Oryctolagus cuniculus: one gene and its partners. The protein of the gene in region 1 purifies or fractionates together with the protein of each later gene. This does not show direct contact. Links are inferred from orthologs where the notes say so. Each region holds a gene or a part of one and is shown in the gene's direction. Other genes may lie near its edges.

Region 1 (4,316 bases):
GGCATTGAATGAAAGAAAAAAGAGAGGGAGGTTGATAAAAATAGGAGTAAAGATAACCCCCAAAGGGCCATGTACACAGTTCTGCACAATCAGTTCCATTCTGGTTAGTCGCCATCATCTGCTCTAGGCTTGGTTTCTCCCTGCCCTAGGCTGCTTTTGGGTAAAAAAGCATGCTCAGCTTGTTTTGTCTCTTTGCTGGGCCTAGGAAAGAGAGAGAAGCTTTTTTTTGGGGGGGGGGGTGCGTAGGAAAGAGAAACTCCAGGCTTCTGCTCTTCCTATCTGTTCCAGGGAGATTCTTAAGGGACAGGGCTAGAGATAAAAGATGTGGGAGAGAAAAGGGAAGGTCCCAGTTGATGACAGAAGATACAGGGTGGTTTGATTTTTAAGTTCCCAGGTACTTTTTATTTATATATTTCCTATTTGTAGAGAAACCAAAAAAGGAAAATGATTAGTACGTAGTATGCCTGCGCAAATAGCAAACCCATAACCTACTAACCCCAGGAGATTTTGGCTCCTGTCCTGGGTAGTTTCAGAGCTGTAAGAGGTATGGGGTATGTACGTGGAGAGTCTCCAATTCCAGGATATAGTAATTAGATTCAGAAACCTCTCAGAGAATCCCAAAGCTACCAGTGACCCGGGGATTAGGGAGCCTAACTGGCAGAGAACACGGAAGTGTCTCCAGCTGCGTCTACTACTAGAATAAACCTCATCATTTGAGGTCCATTACATTCTGACATGGCCGCCTTAAATTCTTTCAGACCCAACAGTTCAGGCTTGGAACGTTTTTGAGCCCTTTAAAAGCAAATTAGCAGTTGGGCTAGAATGTGCCTAGAGAGAATGAACCCCAGACAAGTGGTCCAGAGAAAAGGCAGCATGGCCCATGAGAATCTGAAAGTCAATGATGTGGTTCTGCCAATGCAGATTTTTAGTTTGGTTCAGAGTCTTCCCGTTTGGCCGGGTGTAACTGGGGAAGGGGGATGATTACCGCGGAGGACGACCTGGTGTGCTGGGGCTACCAGTTACCGAACTCTCCTGTAAATTACCTTCTAAGCGTGGAGCATGACTGTTTTTTTTTTTTTTGGGGGGGGGGGAGGGTTTGCACATCCTTTTACTGAAGAAAGTTCTGTCTGTGGATGAGCACTGTGGGGCAATGGAGAAAAAAAAAAAATCTGTCCTCTAAGCATCCTAACGGTGGTCTGTCCCCTCGCGGGCCAGCTGTCCCGTCCTCCGCCGGGGCGGGAAGGAGAGTGTTTCGGTCCACGGATTCGGGTGAGCCCTTTAAATCCAGCCTCCCCGCCCCCACCTCCCCGTTGCCTCTCTCTGACAGGTGTTTTCCCAACTCTGGAGGCTGAGGATTTTGGGGAGTGGCTGAGCCAATAAGATCTCCCTTTTTGGGGGGGGGGAAGGGCGTGGCCAGCTGGGTCAGAGCAGGGGCGGGGTTTGTGCCGCTGAGCCGAGCTTGCCTGGTTGCGTGGAGGGTTGTTTTATCCCCCCCCCCCCACCGTCCCCACCGCCCCCCACCTTTTTTTTATTTATTTCGGAGTCTTATTAATTTCTCTGTGGGGCTGCAGCTGGAGACCGCGGAGCGTTGGAAATGACGCTCGGAGCTTTAATTACCGCAGCCGCTGGACAAGTGTGAGGAAAGCTGACAGGAACAAGGACAGGATCGGGGGAGACGCCAGCAGCTCCCCCCGCCTCCCGATTTGGACTGGAGGTGCAAGGAAACTGAAAAGGGAGCCGAACATAGCCCGGCTTGGGGGGGGAGAGGCCGGAAACCTACCGCCTCTTTGCAATCAACTTTTTTTGGAAACCTTTCTCTCCCCTTCCTTTTTATTGTTGACCAACCAGTGAGAGAGAGAAAGTGAAGAGAGAGCGAGAGCGCGAAGCTCCCACGGGGAAAATAGCTGCACAGTCCGCCCGGAGCAGCCCGCGCCACCCGGGAGCGCTCCCCGGCGCGCTCCGCGACGCCCACTCCTCTACGGCCGGCCCGGCCCTGGGCCCGCGGGCGCGGACTCGGTCGCCCGCGCTGGGGAGCCGCTGGACCGCGCGCGCCGCGCCCGCCCCCTCGCGCCCCCACTCGCGTCGGACTGGGGGAATCTCCTCCGCGTGCCCGAAAGGGGCTATGCCAGTTGGACATGTAATTGTCAGCACGGGACCTGAGACTTCCAAAAAATGAAGCTGGCGACAGGACTGTGGGTCTGGGTGAGCCTTCTCGTGGCGGCGGGGACCGTCCAGCCCGGCGCTTCTCAGTCAGGTGGGTCGCGCTCCTTCTCGCGCTCCAGCAGTTGAACCTGTCGCCGCCGCCGCCGCCGGCTAGGCTGCCTCGGTGGCTCCCCTGCCGTCTTTGCCCACCCCGACCCCGGCTCGCCCCCAGGCGCGGAGGGACCCCTGGACTGGGGCCTCTGGCACCGGCTCCCGGTCACCCCTTTCTTTCTCCATCCTAAACTTACCCTGTGTGTATGTGCGCGGGCGCGCAAGTGTTTTATTTATCGTGAAAAATTACTCTGCACCCCATGACCCTTTCCCCCCCTCTCTCCTTAAGCCACCTTCTTTCTCCCTCGCGTGTTTTCCCTGTGCCTAAGCGGGCTCGCTGCTAGTCGCGCCTGTTGTTCGGACGCGGGAGACCCAGACCCTCAGCCAGAGGAGCCCTCCGGTCTCGGACTCTGTGCCCTCAAGGCAACAAGCCGCAAAGGAAGGCGCACCGCAGGAGCCTGGGCAGGGCTGGGGTCCCGGGGTGGTGCTGGCCGGGCTGCTCCGCAGCCCGCGGGCTGTGGAGCGTGCAGCTCCGAGAACCAGGCTGTGCACCTGTGTGTGCTCCCTGTGGCCGCTGCGCCCCCAGTCGCCCGAGGTTTGCGGGGTCAGGCACGACTGGAGCCCAGCCTGGGCAGCCTGGAGAGCGCGGCGGGCGGGCGTGCCTCGGCCCGGGCCTGGAACTGCCAGCCTCCTCGGCTGGCGTCCCGGAGTCCCTCGCCCCATTGACTCGAGGGGTGCTTGCTTGCATGCCTGTCCTATTAAAAAAAATTAAAAGAGGCTTGGCACGTTGAGCTAGGAGCCCGGCCTTCCCGTCGGTGGCTGTGTTTGGCTCCGGGAGGAGTTCTTCCTGTAGTTCAACTTGCTATTGGCCGGACTCCCTCCAACTTCTCTGTTTACTGCCCGGCCGGGCTGCGGAGCCTGCCGGTCGCGCGAATTGATTTAACCCGAGGCGGGCGCGGCGGCTGCGCTCCCGGGCGCGGTCAGTGTTTGCTGGAGAGCTTGAGCCCCAGGTACCTGGACAGGCAAAGGGCTAATTGACCCCGAGGGGCCGCGCAGGGGGCTGGCGCGCCGCAGCGGGCAGGGCTAATGACAGCAGCACCTGCAGGGACAGGGGAGCTCTAAGTTTCCAACACTGGGAGTTTCCTGGGGATGACCTGGGGACTGGAAAGGAATGAGGAGAACCGGTGTCTGACGCGGCCAAGGTGGGGGGTGGTGGTGGTGGTGGCCTCTGGAGAGCCCGGGGGAGATTTCCGGAGCCGTTTGGGGTTGCTGGCGAGAGCGTGGGAGGCAGCTTGAGGAGATAAAGCCCCTGGGAGTGGCGATAGGGCGAGCTTTAGGCCTCCGGAGGGTGTCCTCCTGACCTCGCCAAGAGAACGGCGGCTCGCGGTAGTTTCCCCGCTCCGCCCCCGCCTCCCCCTCGCTGCCTAGTAAATAACAAGTTCCAATCATGGAGCCTTTCAGAATGACCTTCGCCTGGCACATGTGCGCCGTTTGCACCCTCCCAATTACTCCGAAATTCTTCATGCATACCAGGTCCCGCGCTCCAGCCACCTCGGGAATTGCACCGTCTCGAGATTCCAAGCGGCCTCTTAGATACATCCCTTTTTATCTGCCTCCCCACTCCCAGTCCCTTCATATTTTCCCTCAATGGGTTGATTATGCACATTGACCCATTCAAAAACAGTTGCGACCGACAGGCAGGCTGAGGCGGGAGGAATTTCTAGGAGGCGACCTACTGGGGGCTGTCTGGTTCAGCCTCTGCCGCTGGAGGACCCGCTCCCGGTACGCAGCAATTTGGTATTAACTGTGCGGCGCGGGGCTGAGCTATTCCGAAAAGCCCTTTTCAGAATTTCTGCAAGGAATGTAATCCAAATTAGTTCTGCAGCTGTCCTCTTCCTCGTCTCAGGCGACACCAGCTCTTGCCCTCGCTCGTCTCTTCTCCTTTCCCTGGGCGAATTGTCAGACCCACAAGTGAGCCCATTTAGAGCGCGAGGATTAGCGTGCCATTGTTGTTCCGAGTGTGACTCTGTACTTGAAATTCTGGGGGCACAAAGGAGAGCCTC
Region 2 (3,641 bases), on another chromosome or scaffold:
AGGCCACAGGCCGTCCCGGGTCATCCGGTCCTAATCGGTCAGTGTGTGCCTGCCGTGTGTGATCGGGGGGTAGTGTGACAACAGAGACGCACGAGGCTGTGCTCCTACAACTTGCGGGTTAGCTGGGGAGACAGAATAATGCACCCTTAAAAATGAGGGGGCAGGCAGGCAGCGGGCTCGGTGGTTCTGATGCCATTCTGAATGCCTACGCCGCAGTGCCCGGGTTTACAAATCAGCTTCTCGCCTGGTTCCAGCTTCCTGCTGCTAATGTCACCCTGAGAGGCAGCAGGCGATGGCTCCAGTTCTGGGGCCCTGCCATCCATGTGTGAGACCTGGATTGACTTCCTGGCTGCTGGGTTCAGCCTGGCCCAACCCCAGCTGTTAGAGACATTTCGGGAGTAAACCAGCGGATGAGAGATCTTGTGCTCTTTTTCTCTCTTTCAAATAAGTAAAATAAAAAAAGGTTTGTGCTGAAAAGTGATAGACTGTAGAAAGAGAGCTAAGACAGTGCCATCTTAGTGTGTGGATGTATGGGGGCAGGTGGGGGAGGCGTGAGCCACACTGGGGCGGGGCTGTGGGAAGGGACGGGCAGGGGTGTTTTGGGTGACGGGGGGAGTGAATACCCAAGTCTAAAGTTCCAGGTTAGGTGCTGAGCTTGGCGTGCACAGCAGGTGGCCAAGGCCGCCATGGCCAGTGTTTCCTGAGTGACACGGAGGTGGGCTTGATCCTGGGGCTCCTGTAGGCCACGGTCGGGTCGTGGCTTTTCTTTGAAATGCACCAGAAGCTACAAGCAGTCCTGAACATCCCCACGTCAACCTTGGTGGCCGAGGGATTTCTGCCCACCCCTCTCCCTTGGAGCCTTCGCCTTGGGTGCTGTCGGGGTGATGGGGCCCAGGGAGGGGCCGTGGCAGCACTGCCCAGAGCAGGGATCCCTGCCAGGCCATGCGGACCTGGGGCTCTCTCTGCTCACAGCGAGTGCAGTGGCGAGATCCTGAACAATTGTTGCGTCATGGAATATCACCAAGCCACCGGCACCCTCAGCGCCCACTTCAGGAACATGGTAAGGACTGGGCCTGGCCGTGGAGAGGGGGCTCAGCCCAGCGGGGAACCCTCCTGACCCTGCCCCCCCTCCCCCGACTCCATGGGCCCCTGCAGTCACTGAAGAGGATCAAGCGTGCGGACCGCCGGGGTGCGGAGTCGGTGACGGAGGAGAAGTTCACGGTCCTCTTCGAGTCGCAGTTCAGCGTTGGCAGCAATGAGCTTGTGTTCCAGGTGAAGGTGAGGACCCCCGGCTGCCCCCTGCCCGAGGCTCACCCACAACATGGCCCAGGTTACCTGTGGGAGGCCACCTGGCTGCGCTGAGAGGAGGCGCCCGGGACCCCCTGCGCTCCCTGTGCCGGCCCGCAGCAGAGGCGGTGCACTGAAGAGAGCCACACTCCGCTCTCTGGTTTGCGGGTGCTGCAGCTGGTTCTGTGGGTGACGGCCGGGGCTGGGAGTCCTGCCCGAGCAGAGCGTGGAACGGCGGCCACGCCCCCGCACGCTCATTCCTCACTTTCCCACAGACGCTGTCCCTCCCCGTGGTTGTCATTGTCCACGGCAGCCAGGACCACAACGCCACGGCCACTGTGCTGTGGGACAACGCCTTTGCTGAGCCGGTGAGCCCCTGGGGGACCCTGCCTTGCCCTCCCCACCCCCAACACCATAGAACGCTGCTCAAGGTCAGGGCAGCTCCTTGAGCCCCTGCTGCGAGGTGCTTCTCACCCCGTGCCCCCTCCCCTAGGCCCAGAGCAGGGCTGGGGCAAGGTGAGTGGGGCTGCCCTCGGGCTCCAGCTGCAGGTTCTGCACAGGAGGGCTTGGACCTTGGGCCCTGGCCTGGGATCTTTCTTTGCCTTGGGCTTGGCCCCCTAACTGCAGCCTGGGCCCCTGGCCCTGTGGGCCCACGCGGCATCCTCTCTTTTGCCTTGCCCCCTTTCCCCCATGGGTCTGTGCCTACTTTCTGGAACTTTCTCGGCCCCCTCTTTCTTGTGTATCTGTGTGTCTCAGGCGTGCGTGCACATATGTTCCTGCTCACTCCATGTCCCTAAGTGCCCCATCCACTCTGCTTTCTCCGCTCCTCCCAGGGCAGAGTGCCATTCGCCGTGCCTGACAAAGTGCTGTGGCCGCAGCTGTGCGAGGCGCTCAACATGAAATTCAAGGCCGAGGTGCAGAGCAACCGGGGCCTGACCAAGGAGAACCTGGTGTTCCTGGCACAGAAGCTGTTCAACAGCAGCAGCGGCCACCTGGAGGACTACAGCAGCATGTCCGTGTCCTGGTCCCAGTTCAACAGGGTGAGGGCCTGCCTGGGACCACCCGCCCTGTCCTGCCTCCCCCACCTCGCGGTCAGGCGGCCCCACCCTGTCTCCTACCTGGAGGACGACAGCAGCATGTCCGTGTCCTGGTCCCAGTTCAACAGGGTGAGGGCCTGCCTGGGACCACCCGCCCTGTCCTGCCTCCCCCAGCTCGCAGTCGGGCGTCCCCACCCTGTCTCCTTCCACCTGGAGAAATGGGGGTGTGGACCCCAAGGAACACAGGCAGAGGCTGGAAGGCGATATGGTCAGCTTGAGAACCCAAGCAGGAGGACCTGGGGAACCTCGAGCTGGGTTCTGGACCCTCGGGCTCTAGTCCTAGCTCTGTGCTCTGGGCTTCAGTTTACCCAGCTGCGCCCCTCTATAAAGTGAAGGGATGGAGACCTGTCCAGCCTGGACAATTCCTTTGTTATTATTTTTAAAATGTACTTGAAAGGCAGAGAGACAGAGCTAGAGAGAGATCTTCTATTTGCTGGTCCACTTCCCCAAGGCCTGCAATGCCCAGGACTGGGCCAGTCCAAAGCCAGGAGGCTGGAACTCAGTCTGAGTCTCCCATATGGGGGACAGGGAAGCAAGTACTGGGGCCGTCACCTGCTGCCTCCCGGAACGTGTATTAGCCGGGCAGCTGGAATCAGAGTGGAACTGGGACTTGGACCCTGGCAGCCCAGTATGCTATGCAGGCATCCCAGGTCGCTTCTCATGTGCTGTGCCAGATGTCCACCCCTGGCCTGGAAAATTTTTACACCTCCGACTCCTGCCCAGAGGATTGTCAGGGACCCCCGTCGTCTTAGAAGCGTGGGACGAGTGGCTCTGCTCCCTGGTGATGAGTGGGGCCAGTCAGTGTATGGAGTGCTGGGGTTGGGAGAGGGAGGGGTGAAGAATCGGAAGCAGGCCTGGCTTGGGGCAAGAGGGCAGGGAGACCCCGGGCCGCCCGTGGCCGGGCCCCAGCCCTGACTCGGGGTCTCCCGGCTCGCAGGAGAACCTGCCCGGCTGGAACTACACCTTCTGGCAGTGGTTCGATGGGGTGATGGAGGTGCTGAAGAAGCATCACAAGCCGCACTGGAACGACGGGTGAGGGCCGGGGCACCGCGGTGGGTGAGGGCCGGGGCCGGGGCACCGCGGCGGGTGAGGGCCGGGCCGGGGCACCATGGCGGGTGAGGGCCGGGGCCGGGGACCAGGCCGGGGCACCGCGGTGGGTGAGGGCTGGGGCCGGGGGCCAGGCCGGGGCACCACGGCAGGTGAAGGCCGGGGCTGGGGCCGGGGGCCGGGCCGGGGCAGCCCAGAGCACCGCGGCTG
Region 3 (3,641 bases), on another chromosome or scaffold:
CAGGCAGGCACTGAGACTTACCTGGGGGAGAAATGGTGTAACACAGTTGCTTACTTTTTAGACGTGTGAACCTTGACTTACGATTGCATGGTGGATTTTTTTTTTCTTTGACAGCCACACTGAGGAGAAGACTCAATGGGAGCATCCGAAAACTGGAAAAAGAAAACGCGTAGCAGGAGGTTTGTATGTTGTTGTGATAGAGCAGAGTCTTGTGTTTGAAACATGAGTTAGATAGGGAAGATGTACGAGGCAGGGAGTGGTGGGTCACTGTGTCAGTCGGGGAAGGCTGTCGGGTAGAGAACCCTACAGGAACTGGGCTCCTGCTCTGAGAGCTTGTGAGGTTTGGCAAGGGGGTGCTGAGGTGGTGCCATGGAGTGAGGATGACTTTCTACCTGAGCACAAAAGAATTACAGTAATTCGGGCTCTTGACTCACAGTTTACTAAGTTTTGCCATAGCTGTGCTGTTGGTGAAGTTATCCTTGGCTTGTGGCGTGGAGGAAGTCGAGGGTCTAGCTGGAGACAGTTTGCACATAGGAATACAAAGGAAGTGCTCTATTGCATTGTGTGAGGCGTCACGGGTCAGCCTAAGAAAGATGGCGGCTGCCTGCCGTACGAAGAGACACATTCTGTGGGCTCAGTTCAGGGAGTATTCATGATGGTTTGGCGTCAAGTAAGATTGACAGCAAGAGCAGCAGCTGGGGGGAGCAATCAGAACTAACCAGGAAAGAAACGGGTTTTGGCTAAAATAAGAGACGGGGAGGCGGAGCCTGGCTGTGGGTGATGGACCCTTAGCAGCTGCCTCCATTGGAACGTGTGACCGAGATGGGTTGAGGCGACCGTTGGTTGGGAAGGATGGACCCAGGGAGCAGGGGTTGGAGAGGGGCCTCTGGTCCTGGCCTGGGGGCTGGGGCTCCATTCACCTGGCCGCACTTCGACCTGTCTGTCTACCCTGTGTTTCAGATTTGCCGTATGGATGGGAACAAGAAACCGATGAGAACGGACAAGTGTTTTTTGTTGAGTAAGTGCCTATGTAGATAGAATTCTTGACCATTTTTTATTACATGTATCTCACATTGTAGAAAAATACAAAGTAGTGCATGCCTGTAATCTTAGCAGCGGGAGTAACTGCTTTGAACGATTTCTGGATTTATTCTTTGAATATATTTTCTGTGCACATGCTTTATTTTTTAAAGAAGTGGGAAATACACTATCTGAACTATTTAGTAACCTGCTTTCCCAAATACTGTAGTGTGAGCATTTTCTCATATCTTGGTTTGTTAGGAAGATGATACTTCAGTGGCTCTTGAGTCTTAACGTTTTATAGATACAATTGATCAGTGTCTATTGGGCATGGAGGTTAAAGTCCTGCTATTAGGAGTCTATGGCTGTAAGTAATGCTTTGAGGATGCTTATCTGTAAAACCTTTTCACACATCTCTGATTGCATCCTTAGAATAAATTCCAGTAATAGCAATTGTAACCACCTATACACGGCATAAGGGAGGTGTAGTTCTTTTTTTTTTTTTTTTTTTTTTTTTTTTGACAGGCAGAGTGGACACAGAGAGAGACAGAGAGAAAGGTCTTCCTTTTCTGTTGGTTTACCCCCCAGTGGCCCCTGCGGCCGGTGCACCATGCCTATCCGAAGCCAGGAGCCAGATGCTTCTCCTGGTCTCTCATGCGGGCTCAGGGCCCAAGCACTTGGGCCATCCTCCATTGCACTCCTGGGCCACAGCAGAGAGCTGGACTAGAAGAGGAGCAACCGGGACAGAATCCAGTGCCCCGACCAGGACTAGAACCCGGGGTGCTGGCGCTGCAGGCGGAGGATTAGCCTAGTGAGCTGTGGCGTTGGCCGGAGGTGTGGTTCTGATGACTTTTTTTTTTTTTTTTTTTTGCAGTATGAGCTCATGAGCACCACAGTACTCTGTGGATAGTATTCGTTATGGTCCCTGGTTACTTGCTGATGAGTGTCCAGGGTCCCACGGCTCCTCATGACAGACCAGGGTTTGAGCCCAGCAATTGCGTGAGGTTCTGCTCTCTGGACCACATGAGTTAAGAAGGGAATGCGTGTTTCATGGTGGTCAATATTTCAGTCAGAGGTTGGCATATTTGGTAGGACTGGGATTCGTTGGTTAATAGAAGTTGATTGAAGCAGGATTTTTTTGAAAGTATATATAATATTAACATTTAATATTTGATTCAAGTTTATTAGGCCTTTGGTGACAGGATAGGCCCACTCTTGGAATGAGAGTCTGTTCCTTGGGTCGTAGTATGGCCCTCCTTTCCCATGCATTCTCCTAGTATATGATCTGCAGTTTCTGCTTTTGCCCTCTTTAAAGTTGAGGAAAAATTTACATTTCAAAGAATCTGAATGCTATATCTTTCTAGAGTTTTTAAATTTTAAGCTTTTTCACTGAACTGAATTGAACCAAAACTTTATTTAAAAAATACATAGTTGAAGGGCAGAGCAACAGGAGAGAGAGCCAGAGCCAGTGCCAGTGCCAGAGAGAGAGAGATCTTTGACCCACTGGTTCACTCTCCTAATGACTGCAACAGCCAGAGCTGAGCCAGGCCAAAGTTAGGAGCCTGGAACTCCATCCTGGTCTCCTACATGGTAGGCAGGGGCCCAAGCATTGGCTGCCTTCCCAGATGCATTAGTAGGGAGCTGGATTGGAAGTAGAACAGCCTGGAATTGAACTGTTGCTCCAAAAGCTGGTCCCTCAATTTTTTTTTATTTTGGTAGTTGTGGTTGAGGCTCTGCAGAACATTCAGTGGTATTTTCATAGACTGACAGTTTGTTTACAGTCCACATGTTAACAGTCCACATGGTAATGGTTCATTAAATAGTGTAGTTACAGTAACAAGTTCAAATGGCACAGGTAGTTTTTGAATAAACCTGAATGCTTGATGGGCCTGCAATGTTGGGAGCAACTGGGCCCTGGCTTTTTTTTTTTTTTCTCCATTTTGTGAAAAGATTTATTTATTTGAGACAGAGAGGCAGAGGCAGAGAGAAAGAGAGATCTTCCGTCTGCTGGTTCACTCCCTGAATGGCCATTATGCTGGAGTTGGACTGATCCGAAGCCAGGAGCTTCTTTTGGGTCTCCTACGCGGGTGCTTGGGCCCAAGGACTTAGATCATCTTCCACTGCTTTCCCAGGCCATAGCAGAGATATGGGTCAAAAGTAGCAGCCTGGCAGCTCTCTGCTGTGGCCAGGGAGTGCAGTGGAGGATGGCCCAAGTGTTTGGGCCCTGCACCCCATGGGAGACCAGGAGAAGTACCTGGCTCCTGCCATCGGGTCAGCGCGGTGCGCTGGCCGCAGCACGCCGGCCGCGGCGGCCATTGGAGGGTGAACCAACGGCAAAAGAAGACCTTTCTCTCTGTCTCTCTCTCTCACTGTCCACCACTCTGCCTGTCAAAAAAAAAAAAAAAAAATAGCAGCCTGGACTTGAACCAGTGCCCATATGGGATGCTGGCACTGCAGGAGAAAACTTTTACCCATTATCTTGAGATGAGTCTCTCGACCATCATGGGCAGCCCAGGAAGAAGAGATAGTCTGGCTTGTTGGATAGAGCGGATGTGTGTTGTTGCTTGTTAGTTTGTAAACTCTTTGTGTACCTTGCTGTATACAAGTTTGATTGCTTAAGA

The links.
Region 2: the proteins of ERBB4 (region 1) and signal transducer and activator of transcription 5A purify together in Homo sapiens (affinity purification with western blotting; 3 studies listed by BioGRID, with this or other methods). This does not show direct contact. The link is inferred for Oryctolagus cuniculus from reciprocal best matches to the Homo sapiens genes ERBB4 and STAT5A.
Region 3: the proteins of ERBB4 (region 1) and WWOX purify together in Homo sapiens (affinity purification with western blotting; 4 studies listed by BioGRID). This does not show direct contact. The link is inferred for Oryctolagus cuniculus from reciprocal best matches to the Homo sapiens genes ERBB4 and WWOX.

Annotation. Positions count from the first base shown.
Region 1 is NC_091434.1:26,982,468-26,986,783, forward strand, and holds the start of ERBB4 (receptor tyrosine-protein kinase erbB-4), read left to right. Parts: upstream 1-1,487; 5' UTR 1,488-2,172; coding exon 2,173-2,254; intron 2,255-2,261; exon of another isoform or gene 2,262-4,316. UniProt on the Homo sapiens protein: Tyrosine-protein kinase that plays an essential role as cell surface receptor for neuregulins and EGF family members and regulates development of the heart, the central nervous system and the mammary gland, gene transcription, cell proliferation, differentiation, migration and apoptosis.
Region 2 is NC_091448.1:20,507,739-20,511,379, reverse strand, and holds part of signal transducer and activator of transcription 5A, read left to right. Parts: intron 1-972; coding exon 973-1,060; intron 1,061-1,155; coding exon 1,156-1,278; intron 1,279-1,562; coding exon 1,563-1,655; intron 1,656-2,120; coding exon 2,121-2,327; intron 2,328-3,321; coding exon 3,322-3,416; intron 3,417-3,641. UniProt on the Homo sapiens protein: Carries out a dual function: signal transduction and activation of transcription. Mediates cellular responses to the cytokine KITLG/SCF and other growth factors. Mediates cellular responses to ERBB4.
Region 3 is NC_091449.1:60,455,351-60,458,991, forward strand, and holds part of WWOX (WW domain-containing oxidoreductase), read left to right. Parts: intron 1-114; coding exon 115-179; intron 180-960; coding exon 961-1,018; intron 1,019-3,641. UniProt on the Homo sapiens protein: Putative oxidoreductase. Acts as a tumor suppressor and plays a role in apoptosis. Required for normal bone development. May function synergistically with p53/TP53 to control genotoxic stress-induced cell death.